Diceros bicornis minor: one gene and its partners. The protein of the gene in region 3 binds, or shares a complex with, the protein of the main gene of each other region. Links are inferred from orthologs where the notes say so. Each region holds a gene or a part of one and is shown on either strand. Other genes may lie near its edges.

Evidence for each region.
Region 1: ODAD1 (region 3) and CLXN share a complex: the UniProt entries of both Homo sapiens proteins name them as parts of the outer dynein arm-docking complex. The link is inferred for Diceros bicornis minor from reciprocal best matches to the Homo sapiens genes ODAD1 and CLXN.
Region 2: ODAD1 (region 3) and ODAD4 share a complex: the UniProt entries of both Homo sapiens proteins name them as parts of the outer dynein arm-docking complex. The link is inferred for Diceros bicornis minor from reciprocal best matches to the Homo sapiens genes ODAD1 and ODAD4.

The regions. Positions count from the first base shown.
Region 1 is NC_080760.1:7,586,278-7,594,244, reverse strand, and holds the start of CLXN (calaxin), read right to left. Parts: upstream 3,080-7,967; 5' UTR 3,029-3,079; coding exon 2,971-3,028; intron 2,963-2,970; exon of another isoform or gene 2,780-2,962; coding exon of another isoform or gene 2,746-2,779; intron 1-2,745. UniProt on the Homo sapiens protein: Component of the outer dynein arm-docking complex (ODA-DC) that mediates outer dynein arms (ODA) binding onto the doublet microtubule. Seems to regulate the assembly of both ODAs and their axonemal docking complex onto ciliary microtubules.
Region 2 is NC_080757.1:41,159,835-41,167,558, reverse strand, and holds the start of ODAD4 (outer dynein arm-docking complex subunit 4), read right to left. Parts: upstream 3,060-7,724; 5' UTR 2,989-3,059; coding exon 2,975-2,988; intron 2,660-2,974; exon of another isoform or gene 2,553-2,659; intron 1-2,552. Other genes in the region: ACLY (ATP-citrate synthase), read left to right, coding at 7,100-7,258. UniProt on the Homo sapiens protein: Component of the outer dynein arm-docking complex (ODA-DC) that mediates outer dynein arms (ODA) binding onto the doublet microtubule. Plays an essential role for the assembly of ODA-DC and for the docking of ODA in ciliary axoneme.
Region 3 is NC_080773.1:24,034,223-24,041,889, forward strand, and holds the start of ODAD1 (outer dynein arm-docking complex subunit 1), read right to left. Parts: upstream 3,098-7,667; 5' UTR 2,896-3,097; intron 2,544-2,895; 5' UTR 2,521-2,543; coding exon 2,451-2,520; intron 1,237-2,450; coding exon 1,137-1,236; intron 990-1,136; coding exon 800-989; intron 1-799. UniProt on the Homo sapiens protein: Component of the outer dynein arm-docking complex (ODA-DC) that mediates outer dynein arms (ODA) binding onto the doublet microtubule. Involved in mediating assembly of both ODAs and their axonemal docking complex onto ciliary microtubules.

The DNA of each region.
Region 1 (7,967 bases), on a different chromosome or scaffold from region 3:
AGGATATACGCACACATACATACTTGCCCATACACAAAATTGCATAAAGGGTGGTGTTGATAAATACTGATCTAATTATTTGTGTTCCAATCCCCATCCAAGGTTTGTGGGTGGAAGAATTATTGCCTACCATTAAGAACATAAAAGTGAGTTTAAATGTGAAGTATAAGTGGAAGATTGGGAAGATATGATTTCAAAACAAGACAAAATTACAGCTGTGTATTTTTAAAAACAAGGACAAAACCTGTGTGCATATAAAAGAAGACAGCATAGGAACAGAGAACTCATACTTCATCCTACAGATCAGGATGGGCTGGAGTGTGATTTCTGGTTTTGGGTACCACAATTTAAGAGGAACGTTGAAAACTCCAGAAAATAAATGATTTACTAAATAAACTGATTAAACAGTAGAAAAGGATATAATGGTTATAATTTTAAAAAGAGCTGTTAGTTGTTATAGAAAATGGTATGTCAGTTCCTCAAAAAAATTAAACACAGAAACAATATGTGATCCAGTGATTCCACTTCCAGGTATATACCCAAAGAATTGAAGCAGGGACTTACATACTTGTACACCACTGTTCATAGTAGTATTATTCACAGTAGCCAAAAGGTTAAAGCAACCCCAGTGTCCATCAATGGATGAATGGATAAACAAAATGTGGTATATACTTACAGTGGAATATTATTCAGCCTTAAAAAGGAAGGAAGTTCTGATACATGCTACAACATGGATGAACCTTGAAGACACTATGCTGAGTGAAATAAGCCAGACAAAAAAGGCCAAATATTGTATGATTTCACTTATATGACGTACCTATAGTGGTGAAATTCATAGAGACAGAAAGTAGAATGGTGGTTGCCAGGGGCTGGGGGAAGAGGGAAAAGGGGAGTTATAGTTTACTGGCTACAGAGTTTCAGTTGAGAAAGATAAAAAAGTTCTAGAGATGGAGGGTGGTAACAGTTGCACAACAAAGTGTTGTACTTAATGCCACAGAGCTGTACACTTAAAACAGTTGAAATAGTAAATTTTATGTTATGTATATTTAAACACACACACAAAAAAACTCTAAAAATAAAAAGAGCTGTTAGTAATTGGGGAAAAAAGTCTGCATGAAGAATGGTAGACTCCATTCATGTATATGAAATGCTAGCAGGGGAGATGTTGATGAGCCATTTTTCCATCTCAGCTGAAATAAAAATTAAAGAATATTAGATTAATTTATCACCTGAAAGATCAAAGATTAGCCATAAGAAAACATTTCCTGCTGAAATGTTTCCTAAATTCTAGAATACAATACTAAATGAAATTAAGGGAAATTCAAGAATGGATTTTCATCTCCTTGGATTGTGTATGTGTTCCGTGGACCATATCTGTAGAACCGTGGGTTAACTAGACAATTATTTAAGATATTTTCTTCTTCTCCGATTCTACAAAATTTATCCATTTCATCCTGGTGGGATTATCATCTGAGAGCTAAAAGGAAATCTGACACTAGGGGAAAGGTCCTCTGTTTCAAGAAATTTAAATCTATTATAATGTCCATGACTTGTAACTATTTCTATAGAATTCAACTTGTAATCATCAAGGTTTTTAAGGCTCACTTTAAAAATTTTATGTAAGGACAAAAATCAAAAGAGTTGACTGTTTTTCCTGCCATGTTTTCACTTATCTTTTAATGCACTCACCTTTTGACTGTTCACAGAATATCTGTTTGCAATACATTGCAAACTTACTGAACAGGGACTAAATCAAATTCAGCATTGTGTATAGCAGTTATTGTACTGTTTATTCAAAACGTTAACTAGATGTTTTAAGAAGATCTAGTCTTTTCCCAGAAGTGGAAGTATTTTAAGAAAAATAACAAAACAAAACCCTCATCAGATTATAATAACCATAATAATACCTTAAATTATAGGATGCCTTTTTTCTAAGAAGTTTAAAGATGCTTATACACATCATAACTTTTATTTACCGCATTTCACTACATTAGATACTAAAGATGATTAGAAGGCACCAGATCCTATAATCTCTACAACTACCTTAAAACATGTTTGTTCCTCCTTCTTTGCACAATGGGGGTATTCTTTAAATTATGGCTTCTCCTATTTCCTCAAGTGGCCAGTGGTTTTGCAATCAGCACACAACTTAAAAGCTTGCTCATGAGACAATATGTTCGTCATCTAAACTATACCTTCCTTGCCCAAGTACAATTCTAAAGTTAACTATGAAATTCTAGGACCACCTTTTAGGATGTGTGATCAGAGCAGATACCTTTAATAAGTGCTGATCTTGTCACCTGCAGTGTCCTTTACCTTGCAACCCTACCAGCAACTAGAAAGTGGGAGACTAGAGTTGGGAAGATTCTTTACCATGTGTTTAGCTTTGCTGAGCTCTTTGGTTTCCAAACAAATTTCCTTGCTCTGAGATACAGGTTTCTGTGTCATTTCAACTCATCTTTCCTAAGGGTATTCAGCCATTGATAACCATTTCCCTTATGGATCTCTTGCTAAGTTTCCAGAACTTGGATTCCGCCAGTTTACTTGCTCTAAAAAGAGCTAGAAAGCAGGCGTATTTGGTTGTGAATCTTTTCTTGAGTCTGGTGGGTTTTAGTCCTTATTTTACACTTGTGTCTGAAGCTAAAACTACTTGTGTCTCGTGAGTGTATAAATCACTTTTCTCTAAGGTAAAAGTAAGTTACAAAGAGGGTTTGAGAAGCAAGCGCCTGTATGGGAGTGCAGTACCTGGATCCTGGTCCTTAGGATCATGGGCAGGCATGGTGCCCGCCCCAAGGCGCTAACCCCCGGGAATTCCTTCCAGATTTCTCTTGTGGCATGGGTGTGGAGGGGGCTCCAGCAGCACTCAGGCTCTGGAGGCGGGAAGCAGGCTGAGAGCGGACATTAGCACCCAGCAGGACAGGAGACCTGGCCCAGAAGTCTCCGCTCGTCCAGCACTTCATTCTTACTTACAATGCTTGCAATTTTTAGTTAAGGTGTCCGTCAACTTCTGCAGCTTTTTGCGATTCATGCCGGGCGCTCACGGAATCAGGCAGCGGCCGGTAACTAGCGGCGCACGGCGCCCCGGACCCTCGCGAGCCTGGGGCTGGGGCAGCCGGGCCGGGTCTCGGGCGCCGGCGCGCGGCCAGAACACAGAGGGGCCATGGCAACGCCTCGGCCAGCCGCCGATTGGCTCCCGGGCGCGCGCGGGGTGCGTACGCGGCCCTAACACTCGGCGTGGCCATGGCAACGGCTGGACTGGCCGCCTATTGGTTCCTGGGCTGGGGTGCGCGGTCCCACTTGGAGGTCGAGGCCAGGCTCCTTGCAGACTGTGTTCTGATGGCTGACGTCGGAGTTTTGATTTTCAGTGGTTTCTGTCTTTTGGGTTCACGGCACCTTGGATGGACTGCACTGTGAATCATCAAGGTCTAAAAGTATGTTGTGCACGCTGTGTGAGAGATGTTACACGAGGGGCGCCTTAAGCTTCAGGGAGATCTGGGGGAACTTGGAAGAGCTTCAAGAATTAGCAGGTGTGTTATCCAAACGATTGTTTTACGGGTGCATGAAGGTGAAGAGCTTGCTCTTAGGGCTGAGCCACTCTTGGTTATCAGTACTTTTGCTGTGATGCCAGGAGGGAGTCTGGAACAAGATATCTTCAAGTTTTGGGTGATGTTAGTGAGAGGAAGAGGAACTTGGATTAGTTATTTTCTTCCTCCCCCCGCATACATTCTTGGGGGTGAGGGTGGAGGCTGTCAGTGGAATCTTGGAAAAGCCACTGGCAATTTCTAAGTTAGTTAAAGAGGCAGCCTTCCAAATAAGACAGGCTGACAACTACCACTTGGCTATGTGGTACAGCCCAATCTTGCTTTTTTGGAAAATAATCCAGTAAAATTGATTTTTTACTTATTTGAAAGATGAGTTCCGTGACTGCAAAGGGTAGTCCTTACATCTTTAATGTGAGAGGACTTTCTGCTCTTTTTAACCACAGATGGGGCACCGTATTTGAATTAAGACAGCAATAAAATAGGTTAACTCAGCCAGGAGCACAAAACCTAGAGTATTCTCCAACGTGTCTACATGTTTAACTTCAGAGGGGGAAATACCTTTGAATACAAATTACTTTATAGTATACATACTGCCATCGTTAGACTGAAAGCAGGAAAATTCTGCCAACCATGAGTAACAATCCAAAATGAAATAGTTCCAGTGTTGAGGTCTCTGATTTTCTTTCCTTGTTTCATTTGTTTGTCGAGTGAAGGATTGGACGCTGTTTGAAACCAGAGTCAAGGGTGGTTGGTGAAGGCAGGGACTGTATCATCCTAAAGCAAATTCTCTGAGAACAGGTAACCAATATGAAATGATGGTGATTATGAGTTTGCAACAGTTCTCTGGTTAAATAGTATTCCTATATGCCCTCTTGACTAGCAGCTGTGACATTTCTCATGCGATTATGGAGAACAAATGGGAAAGATTGGATCTATTCTAATTACACTCACCTGTGAATTACACTCACTAGTGGCTTTTGTTATATTCCAGGGTTGTAGCAAATATTTAATGCATAGAGATTGTTGCAGTGCTCATTCCAGAAGACAAGAAGCTGAAAGAGTGGTCGTCGGTAGTTAATAAGAGAGGCCGTGGGCCGCAGGTGTCTCACATGGCTAGGTCTGTCGAGAACCACCTCCTCCGTGTTCTGGACATGAGCTGGCATGCCTTGGGGAACGGCGTCCACTGTGGGAAGCACGCTAATGGGCGTGTCCAGGCGTCTGCGCAGACGTCATACAGAGGAGCTTGTTGCCGGCACCTATAGGTGAGCTAATCCGTTCTTACCTCGCAAGCTTCAGGCCTGGGATCCATCAGCTATGTTCCCTTAAAGTGGAAAAAGTGATGTAAGGACAATACCACAGAAGGCTGATGTTAAAAGATCAAATCTGTTCTACCAGGCAAAAATTCCTTAACCTGGTTAGAAAACTTTGTGAGTTACCCTCCTCCTGATCTGTCTCCTCCCTAAGTTCTTTTTTCCGTGTAATCTTTTAGCAAAACATTTCCAAATGCATTGTTCTGTGAAATGCACTTCTCTAAGACAATGGGCTGCTGAGTTGACGTTACAAAAGTTTTTGCAAGGATTTCTCAGGGAAAGCAAGGTATTTATTAGGGACATGTTTTGTCAACATACTGCTAAACTTTAAGGCGTTCATTACATTATTGTGAGTTTTTTAACGTACTATTTTTAGACTTTAGAAACAAACTGCAGGCCTGATAGAATCAGCCAATCACATTTCAAGGCAAATTGAGATTTCTATTTGTAGTTTCTAGTTGCTTGTGTGGAGCAGACACAGGATTACTTTCCCCCGAGCTCTTTCAGAGTAAGGCAATTAAGCCTGAACAGTTACCTCATATCAAATCAATCAATAATAGAATAATAAACTGCATTTAATTTGTACTATATACAATTTTTACTATGCGTGAAATGATTATAGGACTTTCCAAAATTCAAGCAATTTTTTGATGGATACTTTTGTAAATACAAAAGTACATTAAAGGGACTGTTAATGCTATAAATGCTTCCTTTAACTTTGTGTGCAAAACAACCTTTCCTTTGAATCACAATTAATTGGAATTTTGCCATGATAAATAGTTTGGACCTTGAGTTGATGAAAATGTTTTACTTAATGTGGACCTTTTATGATGCAGGCATTTGGAAGCTGTTTAAGAAATGACATCATATAATTGATTTCCAAGTATATTATAAATCTATTATGAAATTATTTTAATAAAAGGCAAATATAAAGGTTAGTTATTTACATAATTTAAATTCATTTTTACCAATTTTGTTTTATAGAGATAGAGATGAGAAATGCAGAGGTGATTTTAGCCAACCATGTGGGTGGTTGAATCTCCATGGCTTTCTCTTGCCACTTCCCCTGTGCTGCTACACGGTGGTGACAAGCTGCTTTCAGTACCTCCAGCCACCCAGCTGTCTGCCCTAGGACTTCTGCATATTCTTCACCCCACCCCAAAGGCAGCTCTTCCGAGAGTTTTTGACTTCCCCATGTAGAGTAAATCCCTCCCTGTGCATCCTCATTCTCTGTCCCAGGACCATTGCCTTTATAGCACTTGTCACAATGAGTGATTACTTTCTTTCTGTAATTTTTCCTCCCTACTAGACTGTCAATTATGTGATGTCTCTCTCTTTCTTCCTATATATGTGTCTATTTTTGTGTGTGTGTGTGAGGAAGATCGGCCCTGAGCTAACATCTGCCAATCCTCCTCTTTTTGCTGAGGAAGACTTGCTGTGGGCTAACATCCATGCCCATCTTCATCCACTTTATATGGGATACCGCCACAGCATGGCTTGCCAAGCGGTGCGTCGGTGTGCGCCCGGGATCTGAACTGGCTAACCCCGGGTTGCCGCAGTGGAGCGCGCGTTGTACTTAATCGCTTGTGCCACCTGGCCAGCCCCTATATATGTCTATTTTTATCTCTGTATCTATCATCTATCTGTCTGTACCTCTGAAGGTTGACAGCACAGTTCATGTTCTGTTGTCTGTGTTAAGGGAGAGGAGTGGGAGAATTCACCTGAGCAGGGGTAAGCCCTGAATTCCCCCATAGCACCCCATCTGGGAGGGCCCTTGTGAACACACAGCAGGGCCTAGAAAAGAGGCTGAGTTGGAAAGAATACCTTTTCCCAAAATACACACTCAATATTTGCTGGTGTTAATACATTTCTAGATAATTTTTTTAAACCATAATCAAGTGACTGGTGGCCAAGGCAAATGCCTAAGGTTTACTAAGGATAGGATTCTTATATCTTACATGTAATTTCTTACATGTAATTTACAAAGTTAAAAATTAAGATGTGGCACGTGATAAGTAATTATTGCAACTTCAATAATGTCAGCAGGTTGAATAAAGAAGCTGCTTCTCCAGGCCTTCCATAGCCAACCAAGAAATCCCACAGAACCCGCCAGGCTCCTCCTACTGAATGCTGGGTTACGGGCACCCAGAGCTAGGTCGTGGCAAACTGTGCTGTCTGCATAACGACCACAGGGACAGTAGTGCCTGCCACTTTCCAAGGGAGCCTGGAGCGCCAGGGAGCACTCTGGCTCTGATCCTGTCCCTCTGCAGCTGTCACATGCCTCCTACGCAGAACAGAACCAGGCTTGTCCTCTCAGACCAGGCCTGGTACTGCCTGGGCCTCTGAGCCAATGCTGACCAGAAAATGACCTATACCAGTCCAAATATTTGAGACCAGGCTCTCCTAACCACATCCCCCACTTCCATCATTCTTGCTTACTCAGAGAAAAAGAAAGCTCCCAGAATTGCCTATCTCCAAATACTTACCCCCTTATTAGACTTTATTTCTTAGCCTAGATCTCTCTAACACCTTTCAGCTGTACTCAACAAACCCCTCCTCAATTGTGAACATTTACCTTACACGATCCATTTTTGTACAGAGCCTTCTCTCCACCTTTCTTGTCTGAAACCTGCCTCTCCCCTGAAGACACTGCTTCTTGTGTAGATATTCCCCCGAAAAGGCTACGTATTTTCTTATACTTGCTTATTCACAGCCAGAAGGAAGTCAAAATCCTGTTGACCTTGCATTATCTTTTCATTATTGTCTAAACTGTGCCCTTTCTTATTTGCCTTCTCAGGTGTAGGCTGTGCTTACTGCCTCCACTGCTGTGCCTCCCGTTTGAGCTGTCCTCTTTGCTCCCACCCAGCCCCTGCGTTAGCCCACTGTCTTCTGTCTCGTGCTTCTCCAAGCCACCCACAGGGCTGCCAGAGTGATGTAGCTAAAACACACATCCACCTATGTCTTCCTTCTGCTTAATATTGAAATGCCTTCTCAGTGCCTATAAGATAATATCCAAGCCCTGTAGCACAGTTTCCACAGTTCTCCAGGATCTGGCCTCTGTCTGCATGGTTTGTAAGCCTCTTCTTTGATCAGCCCCTGTGTATTTAATGGCTGG
Region 2 (7,724 bases), on a different chromosome or scaffold from region 3:
CCTGGCCCCATGCTAGGTACTGGGGATGCCAAAACGAACAAGGCACACTCTTGGATCTTGAGGAGCTCACAGTCAAATGGGGTAGACCCCTTGGATATGATTTTCTTCCCCTACTTCTCTCCTGTAGCAGGTTGCAGTGGACAGGACAGGAGACCTGGTGGCAGAGGGTCAGTTGTTCATCTGCACAACTGCTCAAGGGGTTGCTGTGAGCAGTATGCATTAGCACCCAGGCCTTTCACATAGTAGGCACTCAATGAATATTAGCTAAAATGGATTATAATCTAGGAGGGAGTCATTAGGCAGTCTAAGCCTTCTGAAACTGAGGTAGCACGCCCAAAGCTGGATGCAGAGATGGTACCCATATCCTTCTGTGTCTGGTGACATGGACCTGTCCTCCAGCCCAGTCTAGAAGTGGAGGAAGGTGGTTCAAGTAGGAAAAACAAAAGAGTTTAGAGCTTTTAAGTCAGAGAACAGAAAGATGAGAAGATGGGGCCCAGACTGGTTACTTTAGGGCAGAGGAGCCTCTGTAGGGTCACGGTGGGGTAATGAGAGAGTCTTTCCTGGGAGAGTTGGGGGTTGGGGTACAGGCCTGGAATGGGACCACTGAGAAAACTGAAACATCTCAATGGTTAGCTGGCTCACGGACCCTCTGGCCTGTGCCTCTCCTCCCTCACTCCCTGGACAGTTTCTTTCTTGTTGCCCCTGCCCAGAACTAGTCAAACTTGGGCCCAGCAATACCTAGATGGGGGACTTAATCACTCAGCAAATATTTATTGAGCATTTACTATGTACCAGGCCAGATTCAAAGTGCTGGAGACACACCAGTCGAAGAAAACAGACAAAGATCCTTATCCTCATGTACATATGCAAGTATATCTGAAGGATAAATTGTTAGAAATGGAATTGATGGGGCAAAGGGCAGGTGCATTTTAAATTTTTATTGATATTGCCAAATTGACGTCAAAGAGTTTGTTATAGTTTATATTTTCCCGGATGCCTGTTTCTGGACGAGTGTGTCTTTCTAACCGGAAATTGCTGCATAAGTGATTCCTCCTGACTGCAGTCTTCCTGCTAGCCCAGGAAGAGCCTGAACTGCTGTCCCCCAAGGCCAGAAATGGAGTACCTTCTAGGACATGTTTTCTTTACCTACAGAGAGGTGACCCTTCTCCCAGATTTGTGCTGTTTGGGGATATTCTTGGTAGGGATGGAGCTCAATCCGTGTAGGGGTAGAAGACTCTCTAGGAGAGGAGAGAGGAGGTGAGGAGCTGCTATTTCAAAAGGATGCTTGTGAGGGAAGGGACCAGAAAGTGACATCATCAGGGATCACTTGGTTCAGGCATGGGCAGCAAGTTTAGCTGCCCCACTCCTGGCTACAACAGGACTAGGGGGAGGAGGGCTTGGGGAAATTTTTGTCCAGGAGAATGTTGAAACATTGTTGCAGTGTGAGTATGACCCTGGTGCTTGGCAGGGGCACAGGCATGCTGATTCTCTGCACCGTGGGCTGACCTCTTCACCTGAACTATCAGACCATAATTCTCCTTCCTGGAGTTAGACAGACCTACAGGACTGGGGTGGAGGTGGGGAAGCTCCAGAATGTCAAAGCAGTAAATGTATGTCCTGGTTTCCATGACTGTCTGATTTCAAATATTCTGCCCCTCAAGTTTACCAGCACCTATTAGACCGGGTGTCCCAGTTTTTGGTTTGGAAAATATAGTATGTCTCACAAGTAACGGAGAGGGGGCAGGCAGCAGTTCATTCATTCCAGTGTCTAAGCGTGGGATTGTGGGGAGGGCGCCGGGAGCAGAAGACAGGCAGAGATGGCCCCAGACCTGTGCTAGAATCTCCCATTGAATTCTCAGCTCCGTGCTGAGGTGAGCAGGTGAGTGGGCCAGAAGGCGTGTGAGGTGTGCCTGGCACTCTCCTAGCCCCACCTGCTCACCCCTTCCCCTTCCCTATCCCACATTGGGAGGTCTGGTCTGATTTCTCGGCCTCGCCCCACCGGCTCAATGGAGACGGTTCAGGTGCAAATAGGAAGGCAGTCTGCCACGGCTGCTTAAAAAGCGGGTCTAAGCAACTGGTGGCCGATTTCAGGCAGCCAGGATGCGGACGTTAGTTTCTCCCAGAGGGAGAGAGGAAGGAGACTCCAGGTCCCCAAAGCAGCGCTACACACTGTTCGCCCAACCCCCCACCGCCCCAAAACCCCCATCAGAGTGGCGGGCCATCCAGCCTCTAACAAATCAGGCCACGGCCCCCAGCCTCGAACGTTCTCCTCCCGGCGTAGCCCAGCCCATCTCCCCACCGGAGGCCCCGCCCCGAACCCGGCCCCGGCCTTGCTGGCTCGGGAGAGGCGGTGCCCGCCCGCGGTCTAGGACGGACGCGCTAGTTGGACTACAAATCCCAGCAGCCCCTGGGTTCCGCCCCCCGGGGGCGGGGCTGTACCGAGCAGCGAATTGGGAGGAGCGCTGGCGCTCAGGCTAGGGAACGCGTGTGACCAATCGCGGGGCGGCTCGCGCCGTGTGCCGATGGGGGCGGGGAGTAGACCCCCGGGGCCCAGACAAAAGCGGGATCCCGGGAGGCTTCGAGAGGCTGGAGCGCTCCGGTAGTGGGCGGTGAGTCAGGTACTGTGGAGGGAGCGCCGCGTACAGACTTTCTCAGAGTGGTAAGTGGCGGGTGGCTGCTTTCGCGGGAGGGCCCCCACCCAGGAGCTTCCTGCCTCCCCCCCAACCCGGAACCATCTCCCCGGACGCGGGCTTGTTGCTCACGCCCCCTCCCTGCACCGGCTTGGAAGTTTTGGGGGGGGGGTCTTAGCTTTAGGTTAGCCTTCGCCCGGGACCTCGGCCGGTGGCCGCGTGTCGACTCCCCCCTCCCCCCCTCCCATCCCAGTTCCTGGGAGTTTGCACAGGGCTTGCCGCCGTGTCTTGCTTTTCTCTCCGCTGAATTGTATTTGCCCCATCCTGGCGCCCCTCACCCCTACCTGGGACCAGTCATCGGGCCATTTCTTGCCCCATCTGGGTCCCCCACCGGATACCGGGGCCGGGAAGTAGAGCAGTGGCCAAACTCGCCTCTCCAGCCAGGTTCAAGCCCTTCCTCTTAGCTCTGTGGGGGAGTCGACTGAGCCCCGCGGAAGTGGAGGGAGCTAGTCGTGCGGGCCACGCGGGCCGGGCTGTCCCAGGGTACCTGAGGCCTGGCCTCGCCGCGAAGACCTGGCCATGGAACGGCGGCGCAAGAAGGACCTTCCTCGCTTTGGAGGTGCCGTCGGGGCCAGCCTTTAGGCGACAGATGGCCGGGCTGCCCGTCTCCCTCCCTACCCCTGCCGCTGCCGCTGAGCCTGGCTAAGCAAGGTCCTCAAGGAGCCTGAGGATGCTGCCGCCGCCCTCCTGTCGGGCCTGACAGAGGGCCAGTCCCAGCGCCTGCTGCCCTCTCCACTTGGCCGATGCCTTGCGGTACCAAGGAGTTCTGCCATTAGGTGGTCCCTGGCAGTTTGCCTGGGAAGAGGATTTTGGAGAGGATGGTTGGTGGCAGTACATAACACACTGCAGTCGGTCAGCTCCTTCCTCTCGTCACCCTTTAACTTTGCTCTCTGTTTCAGCCAGCTCAGTTCCTTCTGAAATGTTGGGTGAGGGACAGCTGGTAGACCCCAGCTGCCCAGAAGGGTAATTTTCACCTCTTAGCTTCTTAAACAGCTTTGGGGCCGGTGATGGGAAGACCCCTCAGACACTGGGCAGTTGCTGTCTCCGCCCCCAATCTGACACTATGCTTGCTGCAGTGGGGGACGCTCACAGAATTCTGCCTTTCTCCTTACTCCATGGATTGCCTGTCCTCTCAAAAAACCTCAGTCCTACGGATACTAACCTTAAAATGAGTGCTTTTTGTCCTTCCCAGAGACAGACCCTAAGTAACATCCCCAGTGATTCCTGTCCACTGGCTGTGTCCCAGGGGTACGTTCCTGGGGAACAGGCTCCTTTTATTCAGCCTTCCCTGTGGGCTCCTTCTGCCCTCGGTGGCTGCTGTGGATGAACTCAATCCTGGGTCACTTACCCTGTCTGTAAAAAAGACCCCATTCAGCTCATAAGATCCCTCCCTTGGAGTGTATGTGTGTGTTTTCAGGTTCCTTGGCATGATGTCCCCCAAATGGTTTACACGTTTATCTGTTACTAGGTAACAGTTCCTGGGGCCCCAAAGTGGACCCCAGGGGTCTTAGCTGTGCCCTGAAACCATCTGTCACCAGTTTGACAGTACATTCAGTTCCTAGGGAGGCAGCCAAAGACTTTAGAGGGAGCTCCCCAAACCCAGATTGGTGTACACTTTAAGCCCCTTTCTCACTAGAGCAAATATTCTTAACTGGTGGTTTGTGGACCATCAGATCAGAGTCACAGGTCAGCACCTTGAAATGATATGCACAGTTGAGTATGTGTACATTTTTCTGGGCTTTTCTTCAGATGCTCAAAAGAGTCTGAGACCTCAAATAAGTTAAGAGCCACTGCCCTAGAGAGACTTCAGAACCCCACTGAATAATTAAACTTATGATTTGTCTCCACCAAGTCCCCTCCCTGTGTTTATGAGCCTCCTTACCCTGCATTGGTGAATAGGCAGAGGCCAGATTCCTTTATTCTGTCGTATAAGGGCCTCCCCTTCTAAGCCAAAGTGCTCTAGTGGCAAATATGTCGTTTTGGTAAACTGGCAAATCTTTTCTGTCCTGTATCATCTCCCTGTTGTGTCTTCTCTCCCATCCTTCTTCCGAGGACCTTATGGAGATGAGCTCTTGGGTCTGAGATTTCATCTGGGGCTCAAGAAAATTGTGATTTTTTTCCGCTGCAGAAGGTCCCTTTTCTCACCCTTGTCATTTCCAAAGTTGGGTCTTTGTTTTGGGAGGTGCCAGGTTTAGGAGTTTTTTGTTCTGGGAGTGTCTATCAGACTTCTCTCTGCTGGAGAGGCTTAGCTGAGGGGCTTCCTTCCTCCTGGAGTTTGTGATCACTTGTGCCTGATGTGTCTGAACTGCTGAGAGTGGTCAGAAGCTGCCTGCTCCTTTCTCTGCTTGATCTGCCTTGGGCTACACTCTCTTTGGGAGAGGGGTTGGGGCAGGTGTACCCATCTGATTTCAGGACCAGTTTTTCTGGTCTGAGTCAAGAAGGTTGGGAAATGGAGCTGGAGTGGGTGAGAGGCTGGAGGACTTTGGGGCCAGTGGGGCCAGTGGAGGCATCTCCTTTGGAGACTCATGTTGGGAAGGAGCTAGAAGTCATCCCAGGGGAAGGCCAGAAAAGGCAACATCTCCTTTGAGCCCCTTCCCAGCTACTTCACTTTGGGCCAGACACCAGACTGAATGTGCCCATTGTGCCCAGCTGGAGGCTAGCTGGGAGGCTGAGGGAGCCAGCCAAGCCAGGATTAGAACCTGAGCCCCAGTCTGGCCAACTGAGAGGGAGATGCAGAGTGGCCTCTGGAGTATTGGCCTTTCCTAAGCTGGGGATGGAGACCAGCCTTCCTGTGTGTATAAACTAGCCAGCTCCCTAACTCCACCCTCCTTTATTTGACTTTCCTCCCCCAGCAAATTAAACAACTTCAGTTCTTTGTGGGAGACACAAGAGTGACTTTTCCTGATCTGGCCAAGCTCTTGGCATGAATGACTTGGTTTCCTCCCCCTCCCCCATTCCTCTCCCCAGCTCTCCTGTCACTACCTGTCAGAGAAGGGTGTGTCAGGACAAAGCAGTGGGGAGGGAAGATGAAGAAATTGTCATCACAGACTCTTCTGTAAGGTGAAGGGGGGCATGGCCTTGTTCTTGGAGAAATGGTCTTTTCTCTCGGGCTGAGGTGTGCAGTTTTCTGGAGACTAGGAGTAAGAAGGTTTGGATTCAAGTCTTTGGTCCCCTGCTAATTAGTTAGGCTTCTTGGGCAAGTTATCTTAACCCCTCCCAGCTTTTATTTCTCATCTAAGAAATAGGGTTCTGAATCTCGACATACCTCACAGCGCTCCCATAAGGTAAATTTCTGTATACATGTGACTGAGAATGCTTGCTGCCTCCTCCCTCAGCTCTGGCTCAGTTGAAAGTGACCACTACAGGGGCCGGCCTGGTGGCGCAAGCGGTTGAGTGCGCGCGCTCCGCTGCGGCGGCCCGGGGTTCGCTGGTTCGGATCCCGGGCGCGCACCGACGCACTGCTTGGCAGGCCATGCTGTGGCGGCGTCCCATATAAAGTGGAGGAAGATGGGCACAGATGTTAGCCCAGGGCCGTCTTCCTCAGCAAAAAAAGAGGAGGATTGGTGGATGTTAGCACAGGGCTGATCTCCTCACAAAAAAAAAAAAAAAAAAAAAAGTGACCACTACAGAGTGGTCCCCAGAGAGGCCTGTGTTTTGCTCTGAATTAGCAGCCAAGTGACTCAGTGGGGCGGGTGGTCTGACCCACTGAAGGTCACAGTTCCCCCGCCCCGTGTCTGCTCTGAACTCAGGGGTGAGAGTCTAGTGTCCTGGGAGAAATGAGCTTTGAGATGACTCTTCATCTTTGCTCCTGGGGGCTCGATCCTGCCTGAGGCTAAGAAAACTTGCTGGCCTGGCCCTCTGCCTGGTGGTTTATAAGTGTGTGAAATGGGGTGAGTCTGGATGGGGTAGATGAAACCTGTGGTGGGGGTAAGGCCGGCTTTGCACCATTCCAGCTGTGCTCCCCTCCAGTCATAGAACCAAAGGGTGTGTTTCAGTGTCTGTGTGCCCTCCTCGGGTGGGACGGCACTCAGGTTTGGGTCACATCACTAGGATTTCTGGTCTCCCCATCCAGCTGCCTTTGGCTCCAGGACGAATGTGGCTATGGGTGATCTGGTTTGCCTAGAGAGAGTAGAGACAGGGTTGAGGCCCGGAGTCCCAGGAGAAATGCCACCTTTGTTTTTCTCCATCTTCCCTCCCCCATCATTTCTTGATCCTCCTTCTCTGCTGTCAAAAGTGCTGTTTGAGATCTCCCTTCCATCCTTCCTGCTGGGGCAGCTCTTCTTCTCCCTCTTGAGAAGGGCTGAGATCTGTTTTACTGTCTGGGGGCAGCTAGGTGTAGGTCTCCATTTCCCTGCCTCTTCTGACCAGCTCCTCTTACCCCGACAGGTAGAGCAGGTCCCTCTGCAGCCATGTCAGCCAAGGCGATTTCAGAGCAGACGGGCAAAGAGCTCCTTTACAAGTACATTTGCACCACGTCGGCCATCCAGAACCGCTTCAAGTATGCCCGGGTCACCCCTGACACAGACTGGGCCCACCTGCTGCAGGACCACCCCTGGCTGCTCAGCCAGGTGAGCCCGCCCCCATCCTGAGCCCTTCTTCCAGGCCCAGAGTCCGAGGAGAGAAAGGGTCGGTCTGTTGGAGATGTCCGAGCGGGGCATGTGATGGCAGACTGCCTGCGTCAATGGGCAGTGGGCATGGGCTGGGCAGGGTTTTGTGTCCAGCTCTGGGCTCCGCATTTTGAGGCACGCTGGCATGGTAGGCAGAGCATGGAAGGGACAAAATGGAGTCCAATGCTCTGTCTATTAAGCATGTCACCTGTGGCAAGCCATTTCACCTCTCTGAGTTTTACATTCCCCAGCTGTCAGATGAGCATAACACTCACCCTATGAGCTGTAAAGATTAGCAAGAATGTCTGGAAAGCATTCAGTGTACTGCCTGGCGCTTGGTAGATGCTCAGTAAAAAGTGGGTATGTGCCCCCTCCTCCCTCCAAAGTAGAGCATATCAGGAATGGGCCATGAGGAAGTGTGACATTG
Region 3 (7,667 bases):
AAGGAACACAGCCCTGCCAACACCCTGATTTTAGCCCAGTGAAATCCATTGTGGACTTCTGTCCTCCAGCATTAAAAGATAATTAATTTGTGTTATTTGAAGCCATCAAGTCTGTGGTACTTTGTTACAGCAGCAATGGCAAACTAATACAGACCACCAAGATAAGTAACTTTTACACTCCTGTTTGTGATCCAATAGTGTACAAGAAATCATCTGGTCTAGGCAAGCAACTTTTTTTTTAAATGAAGACTAGAATAGAAAATAGAATGAATTCCACATAGAAAAAGTAAGTATTATTTGATGAAACTTGTTTCAGATATATGTGTGTGTGTTTACATCCATGTGCTTCTGTGTGCGTATGAACTGCATTGCAAGGAGTCATGGTCATCAAAACTTGAAAGAACTCCAGCCTCGAAAAGCCACATTGTTTCCAAGGTCACATAGCAAGACCTTGGGGCAGGTGGGATTAAAAATCTGTCTAGACTTTGCTGCATTACCAACATCCTCTTTTTGCAGATGAAGAAACTGGGGCCCAGGGAGGTGAAGACTTGCCCGTGGTCACACAGCTCTGATGTGGCAGGACCAGGATCCTAGTGCAGGTTTCACTGACTCCAGAAGGTGAACATTTCCCCTTAACCACACCAGCCCCTCAACACCCATATTCCTGCTGGAGACCGAACACAGCTCTCCCAGGTGGATGCTTTCAACAACCCCATCTTTCAGATGAGGAAGCTAAGGCTCAAAGAGGTTACACACTTGCCGCTAAATAGCATCCACAGAGTCAGGGCTCAGAACCCACCTGTCTATCCAGGGCTCTGGTCTGCTCTTGCAGCTCCGTGACCTCGGCCTGCACCTGGGCCTGGCACTTCAGCAGGTGGCCCATGTTCTCCAGCCTCTTGCTGTCTCGCAGCCGCTTGGCCTGGCTCTGGGCGACGCTGATTTGCACCTGCAGTTGGTCCCGGACCTCCTGCAGGCGCTGGATCTCCTCGCTGTCCCGGCAGGGAGGTGGAGGAGAGGCCCACAAGGGGCAGAGCTCAGCATCACTAACGGCTGGACACACTGGGCCTGCCCTCCCCTCCTCAGACCCAGGAGTCCGGCCCCCAGCCCCTTTACCAGCCCCCTCGCACTCAGCTCACAGTTGCTTGTTGATGCGCTGGTGGACCTCCTTGCCATAGGCCCGCCTTTCCCCCTCCATCACTTTGCATTGTCGCTGCAGTCTGCTCAGCTCCCAATCCACTGCAGCAGGACCAGGCAAGGGACTCAATAGGAATCCAGGCCCCAGCCCCTTCCTCCCTGGGACCTAGGAATTCTGGCTCCCTTAGGGTCACGCAAACTGCAGCTGAACTGCAGACTCAGTCCCCAGTGCCCCTCTAGGTCTGCATCTCAGTTCCTGTATCCCTCAAGCTTCCTTATCCCTTCTTACTCCCCAGACCCCAAGTTAACCTAGGGATTTTTCCCCTAACCCACTCCCGCTCCAGGTTTGGGCACACATCTGTTTCCCCACTAGAGGGCGCTCCTGGAAGGCGTCACGGTCCTCAGGGACCCGCCGCACAGGACGTGGAACTTGAAAGCTGAGAACAGATGCCAAGCCAGTATTCTTGCTCCCTCCCTTCCCTTTCAGCGCCACCGCCCAGCAGTCCTCAGCCCCATCCTCCCGCCTCCTCACTCTCAGCCTATCGCCTAGGCTCAGGCTTTATTCTCTCTGCCTGGACCATCACCTCAGCCTCCTCCTCAACCTCCCGGCCTCCCCTCACAGCTCCAGAGGGTCTTTCTACCCCCAGAGCGGACCCTGCCTCTCCTCTGCTCACAGGCCTCCCCCAGTGCTCCAGCGCCCTCAGGACACAGTCCCAGCTCCTCAGCCTGGTGTTCAAGGCCCCACACGACCTGACCCTACCCACCTCTCCAGCCTCGTCCACCAGCTCCCCACCAGCCATGGTCCAGTGGTTCTCAACCAGGAGGGATTCTGCCCCCCCATGGACATTTGGCTATGCCTGGGGACATTTCTGGTTGTCACAATGTGGGGGGAGGGGGATGCTACTGGCATGTAGTGGACAGAGGCCAGGGACGCTGCTGAGCATCCTACAATGCACAGGACAGCCCCCACGACACAGAATTATCTGACCCCAAGTGTCAATGGTGCGGAAGATGAGAAACCCCGCTCTAGCCTCATGCTGTACCCTCTGCTGAAACACTCTTTCCTTCCTTCTCCCCTTGGTCATTCCTGGGAGGAGTTCTGGGCCCCACTCAAACTTCTCCTCCTGCAGGAAGTCTTCTCGGCCCGCCCGCTCCCCAGGCTTGGCCACCCCATCTGTCCTGCTCCACCTCCATTCGGGTACTAGAGGGCTCTCCTGGAAGCCCTCCCAGTCCCCAGTGCCTGGCAGCTCAGGACCTGGAACTTGGGAAAACGCAGGAAAAGAATGAGTGAAATAAAGCAAGAAGGTATGAATTACCTATTCCCTCCAGGAAGGCCTCGCTTCCATCCTCGGAGCGGGTGCTCCCTGGAGAGAGTCCCAAAGGCATCTTGGCCAAAGGAGGTGGGGTTCCTGTAGGGACGACACGGGAGCCCTTCAGACAGCGGGCGGGAGAGGGCCCGGAGGAGAGTGGGCGACGAACGGCGAGGGGGTAGGATTTGGAAGAGGGTGACCCCGAACACCTCTGGCCTTTCCTTGAGTCTCATTTCCTCCAGTGGGCTGCAGGGGTCCCCTCTCCGGCCTCTCCCCCACCCCTCCCGACCTCCCGCCTCTCACATGCTGTCTTGCGTCGCGGCTCTGACTCTGGCGCGGGGGACAGGTCCCCTAGACTCTCGGTATCTCTGCGGCGGGGCTGCTTGGGGAAGGGGTCACAAAGGAAGGGGAAAGCCCCGGCCGGCTGTGGGGGGCGAGGCCCGGGCCCTACCTGCTGGAGTGCCCGACCTGTCCTCGGCGCTTCAAGCTCACTGTTGTGGTCTGGTTACTGCGGAGATAAGGGGCCAATGAGGCCTGAGGACCGCGGCCGGGGAGGGACCAAGGCAGCGCGGAGAGGGCGCGGGAGGGGAGGCTGGGGAGGAGGGGCCGAGGAGGCCGCAAGTGCTGGGTCCCGGGCGCTTTGAACAGACGCGTGGGGGAGCCCTCCAAGGGGCGGGGCTAGGAGGGCTGTAAGGGGCGTGGTCTGCGAGGGGTGGGGCTATGGGGGTCGGAAAGTGGAGGCTAGGAGGGCAATGAAGGGCCGGACAGTGGGGGGCCTGCGAGGGACGTTGCTGGAAGGGCTTGCGAGGTGAGGGGCACGGGTCCCTGTAGGGGGCGGGGCCTGGGGGGGGCCCTGCGAGGGGCGTGGCATGGGAACCTGTAGGAGGCGGGGCTTGGGGGGCCCTGCGAGGGGCGGGGCACGGGTCCCTGTCAGGAGCGGGGCCTGGGGGGCCCTGCGAGGGGCGTGGCATGGGAACCTGTAGGGGGCGGGGCCTGGGGGGGCCCTGCGAGGGGCGTGGCATGGGAACCTGTAGGAGGCGGGGCTTGGGGGGCCCTGAGAGGGGCGGGGCACGGGTCCCTGTCAGGAGCGGGGCCTGGGGGGCCCTGCGAGGGGCGGGGCACGGGGACCTGTAGGGGGCGGGGCTTGGGGGGCCCTAGGAGGGGCGGGGCAGGGGTCCCTGTAGGGGGCGGGGTCGGGGGCCTGCGAGGGGAGGGGCACGGGTCCATGTGGGGGCGGCCTGCTGGGAGCCCTGGGAGGGGAGGGGCACGGGTCCCTGTAGGGGGCGAGACAGCGGGGCCTTGGGAGGGGAGGGGCACAGGTACAAGAGGAGGGTGGGGGCTGTGGGGCTACGGGGGCGTGGTTGGAGGAACACGCGAGGGGTCCGGTGGGAGGGCACAGGAGGGCCGCTGGCTCCCGGGACGTGCGGGGCACGGGGCTCATCAGGAGGCACTCAGGGTCGGAGGGCCTGTGGGAGGTGGGGATGGTCTGTGTGGGGAGCACGGGCCTGTGAGGGGCGGGCTGTGTGTTTCCGGGAGGAGGAGGCAGGAGCTGAGAGAGCCTGTGGAGGCAGGGCTGGGAGGGAAGCGTCTGCAAGGCTCTGGAGCTAGGCCGAAGTCTGTCGGACGCGCCCTGAGAGATGCGTGTCTTAAGCTGATTAAGACCACGCTGAGGATTCATTAGCAGGGAGGCGGTGTGGATGCTGGGAGTTGTGAGGGGGAGGAGCGCTCACCACCACCTCAGGTCCTCACAACGGCTCACTACGCATGCGCAGTCAACGGCCTCCAGGGAAGCCGCCAAAAACCCTTTGCTGTCTGCGGAGTCCGCGCACTGAGGCGGAAGTGGGCGGGGCCTAGGGCGCTTCGCTCCGCCTCTGCCTTCCGGCCACGCCCTGTCTGGCCACACCCCCTCGCTCCGCAGGGCCCGCCCCCCGGGCGGGGGACTGCTCCCCACGTGGGCCTCCCTGCAGCGGGCCGGCAGTGGGCGCCGCTCCCTGCAGCCTGGGTGTGCCTGACGCCTGCGGTTTCCTGTGGGAGGAAGCGGCCCGCGGGCGCTCAGCTCAGCTCGTAGCCTTGGAGGCCCGGGAGGGGGAGATCCTGCCACCGCTCCCGGGTCCCCTGATTCTTCCCCTCCACAGGGCCCTAGCATGGGGGACTCCCGAACATCCCCAGGAGACGCAAGTCTGGCGTTCATTCCACTCGGGGAACTTGATTCAAAGTCCTAGCCTCCTGTCCACCTCCCTCGCTCAAATTTCCGTCTCCCTCTTTTCTGGTTCCCAGGTTCCTCCCAAGACTAGGTCCGGTTCCCTTTGCCTGCACCCCAGGAAGAGCAGAGGACGCTCCAGGCCCTAATTTTTCCCAGTGACCCAGACTTTCTGATTTCCTTGGGGTTCTGAGCTCAGAGCCTCTCTGTCCTCAAAGGCTTAAATTTGAGACTACTTATTTCCCAACCCAGAGACCCTCATTTTGTACTCCCAACCTTTTAGCCTTGGAGCCCAAAGGACCCAAGAATTTGCCCCTTCCCCAAGTCCTAGAGTCCTCGATCTGGGGTCCCCCAGTACTGAATCCACTCAGGGCCCCAATGCCTCCTGTAACTAGCACATACAACAGTGCTGTGCCAGGGGACTACTCTTAGAACCACCCTATGAGGTATTTACTATTTTTAGTCCTATTTTACAAATAAAGAAACTGAGGCCTAGAGAGGTTATTAGTAACTTGCCCAAAATCACAGCTAATGAGTAAAGCAGCTTGGATTTGAATCCAGCCACTGTGTCTCTAAAGTCTGTGCTATACTGTTACCCAGCTTCCAGGTCACTCGAGTACCCACCCAGTCACTGAAGTGCCCATCCCTCACCCCCTCAGGGAGCCCAGATGACCAACCACTCTCCCTCCCCCTAGCTCCGGCCCCATCAGATACCCAGACATCCCATCATCCAGCTCTCTTCCTTTGCAGGAACCCAGGATGTCAGTCCACCAGCTCTCAATTCCACTTCAGGACCCCAGACAACTGGACACCTCACTTTTCACCAGCAGCCAACTCTTCCAAGAGACCCACGTACATAGTAGTCACCCCCCACCCTAATTCAATATCCCAAGAATACATAATAATCATCATCATCATACTTAACATTAAGTCCCCAGTATTGCACTTCTGTTTAAAACCTCCAGTGGCTTCCCACCGCACTTAGAATAAAATCCAGGCTCCTCTAGGCTTCAAGGGCTCTCTTTGATTTCCCTTCCTACCCCTCCCTCTAGCTCCCTATGTTCTAGCCACATTGGCCCTTCTGTCTGCTCCCCAAACAACCTGAGCTTGTTCTCAAAGCCCTTTACACTTCCTCTTCCTCCCAGCATTCAAATGACTCCTGTCTTCAGGTCTCCTTCAGGTCTCGGCTCAGATGTCACCTCCTCAGAGAGGCCTCGCCTGATGACCCTGTTTAAAGTCGCCTCGCCTCATTACCTCCATCACTCTATTTTATTTCCTTCAAAGCACTTAGCACTCTGTGATATTTATCGGCTTCAGTGATATGTTTCCTCTTTATTGTCTGTCTCCCTTAAACTGGAAGGTAGACTCCATAATAACAGAAGGGCTCGCATTTGTTTTCTTCATTATTAACTCCTGGTTCAAAATAGATGTTCAATAAATATTTGATGAAGAAAGGGATGAACGTGTTAGGTGTGTTAGTGTACTGGTATGACCTTATTCATTTAGAATAAGTATCAGAATTATTATCTGTATTAGTATATTGTCAGTATTATTAGTATTATTGTACCCACCTCACAGATTAGGAAACCAGGGCTCAGAGAGGTGAAATAATTGGTGACCCCCAGGCAGAAAACGGTAGCGCTGGGACTCTCAACCTCCACTTCCTGCCGCCTTCCAGAGTTTCACTCTTCCCCATTCCCATCCTCTGACCCCCACTGTGGTGCCAGCTCCACCAGCTCCACCAGCCCCCAGCCCACTGCACACGGCAGGAATCTGACCTCCTCCCCAGACTCCCATCCCTGTGGGTATCCAGTCCTAAGCTCCATCAAGGAAAGCAGACATCCGATCCCAGGATGCGACCCAGAACGGAGGCCTGAGATTCGGGCCCTCCCACCCTCTGACGCTTGCCCCACCCCAGGGCCCCTGGTCCACCCGGCGTGCTCCAAGGACTTCTCAACCCTGGGAGATGAGAAGATGCTTGTCTGGAGGCAACGGGTGGGGGCCCAGAGAAGGAGGAACCAAGTGCCTGGGCCCTCCCTCTGGCTGCAGACCTCAGCTGGGTGGGGTCAGGGTGGGTATAAAAGGGTCGGTATATATTGAGAGGAGCAGAGAAGGAGAAACCAGGAGTGTGACAAGAGAGAGAGGAGGAGGTATAGGCAGTGAGGACAGGAGGGAGAGACAAGAGGCAGAAGGAGAGAGAGAGAGAAAGAGAGAGAAAGGGTTCCCGGATTGGAGGGGAGAAGGAGGGAGAGAGCCAGAGGGGAGAGCGAGCAAGCGAGGGAGGGAGGGAGGGAGGAAGGCGGGGAGGGAGGCGGGGGCCTCGAGAGGGTGGAAGGAGGGAGGAGAAGGGCGGGGCACGGAGGCCAGAGCGAGGGACGAGACTCCAACTCTGACTTTTCTGCTGCTCGGTAAGTTTCCAATCCGTTATTCAGACTGGGATTTCTTTATTTACTTGGAAGTACACAGTTTGGGACGGTCACCCCCAGGCTGGGAGAGACTCCCCGACTCTCCACCCCATGGAAATCTCTGTAATTTAAGAAGTGATCTCGTAGCACTTGGGGTGGGGATTCAGGAAGGGGTGGAGCCCGGCAAGGTTTTGGGGTTCACAGCTCCACCCGAAAACTTCCCGCACTTTTTCCCCCGGCTCTCCACTCTCCCTGAAGTCTGACATCAGGGCTTTGCATGAGAACACCCCAAGTCTGGGGGACCTCCAGGCCCCCCCCTTTCTGGACACTGAAAGGTCATGTGAGGTTGGCTCTTTCTCCTCAGGCTATCTCCTCTCAACACAGATCTTGTCCATTTTCCTTACAAGATGTCCAGAGGGCACCAGTCTGGCAGCAGGGTTGGGTGGGGACCTCGTGGGCACAGCCAGGGGCTGGGGTTTCCCTGGTGCTTGAAGGCAGGGGGTGGGATGAGTCACCGGATGACTCACCCGGTCCCCCTTCCTCCCTGCCCCAGGAGAGGAGTGGGGTGAGTCAAGGATGCCTGTCTCTGAGGGCAGCCCCCAGCTTCTGATGAATCTG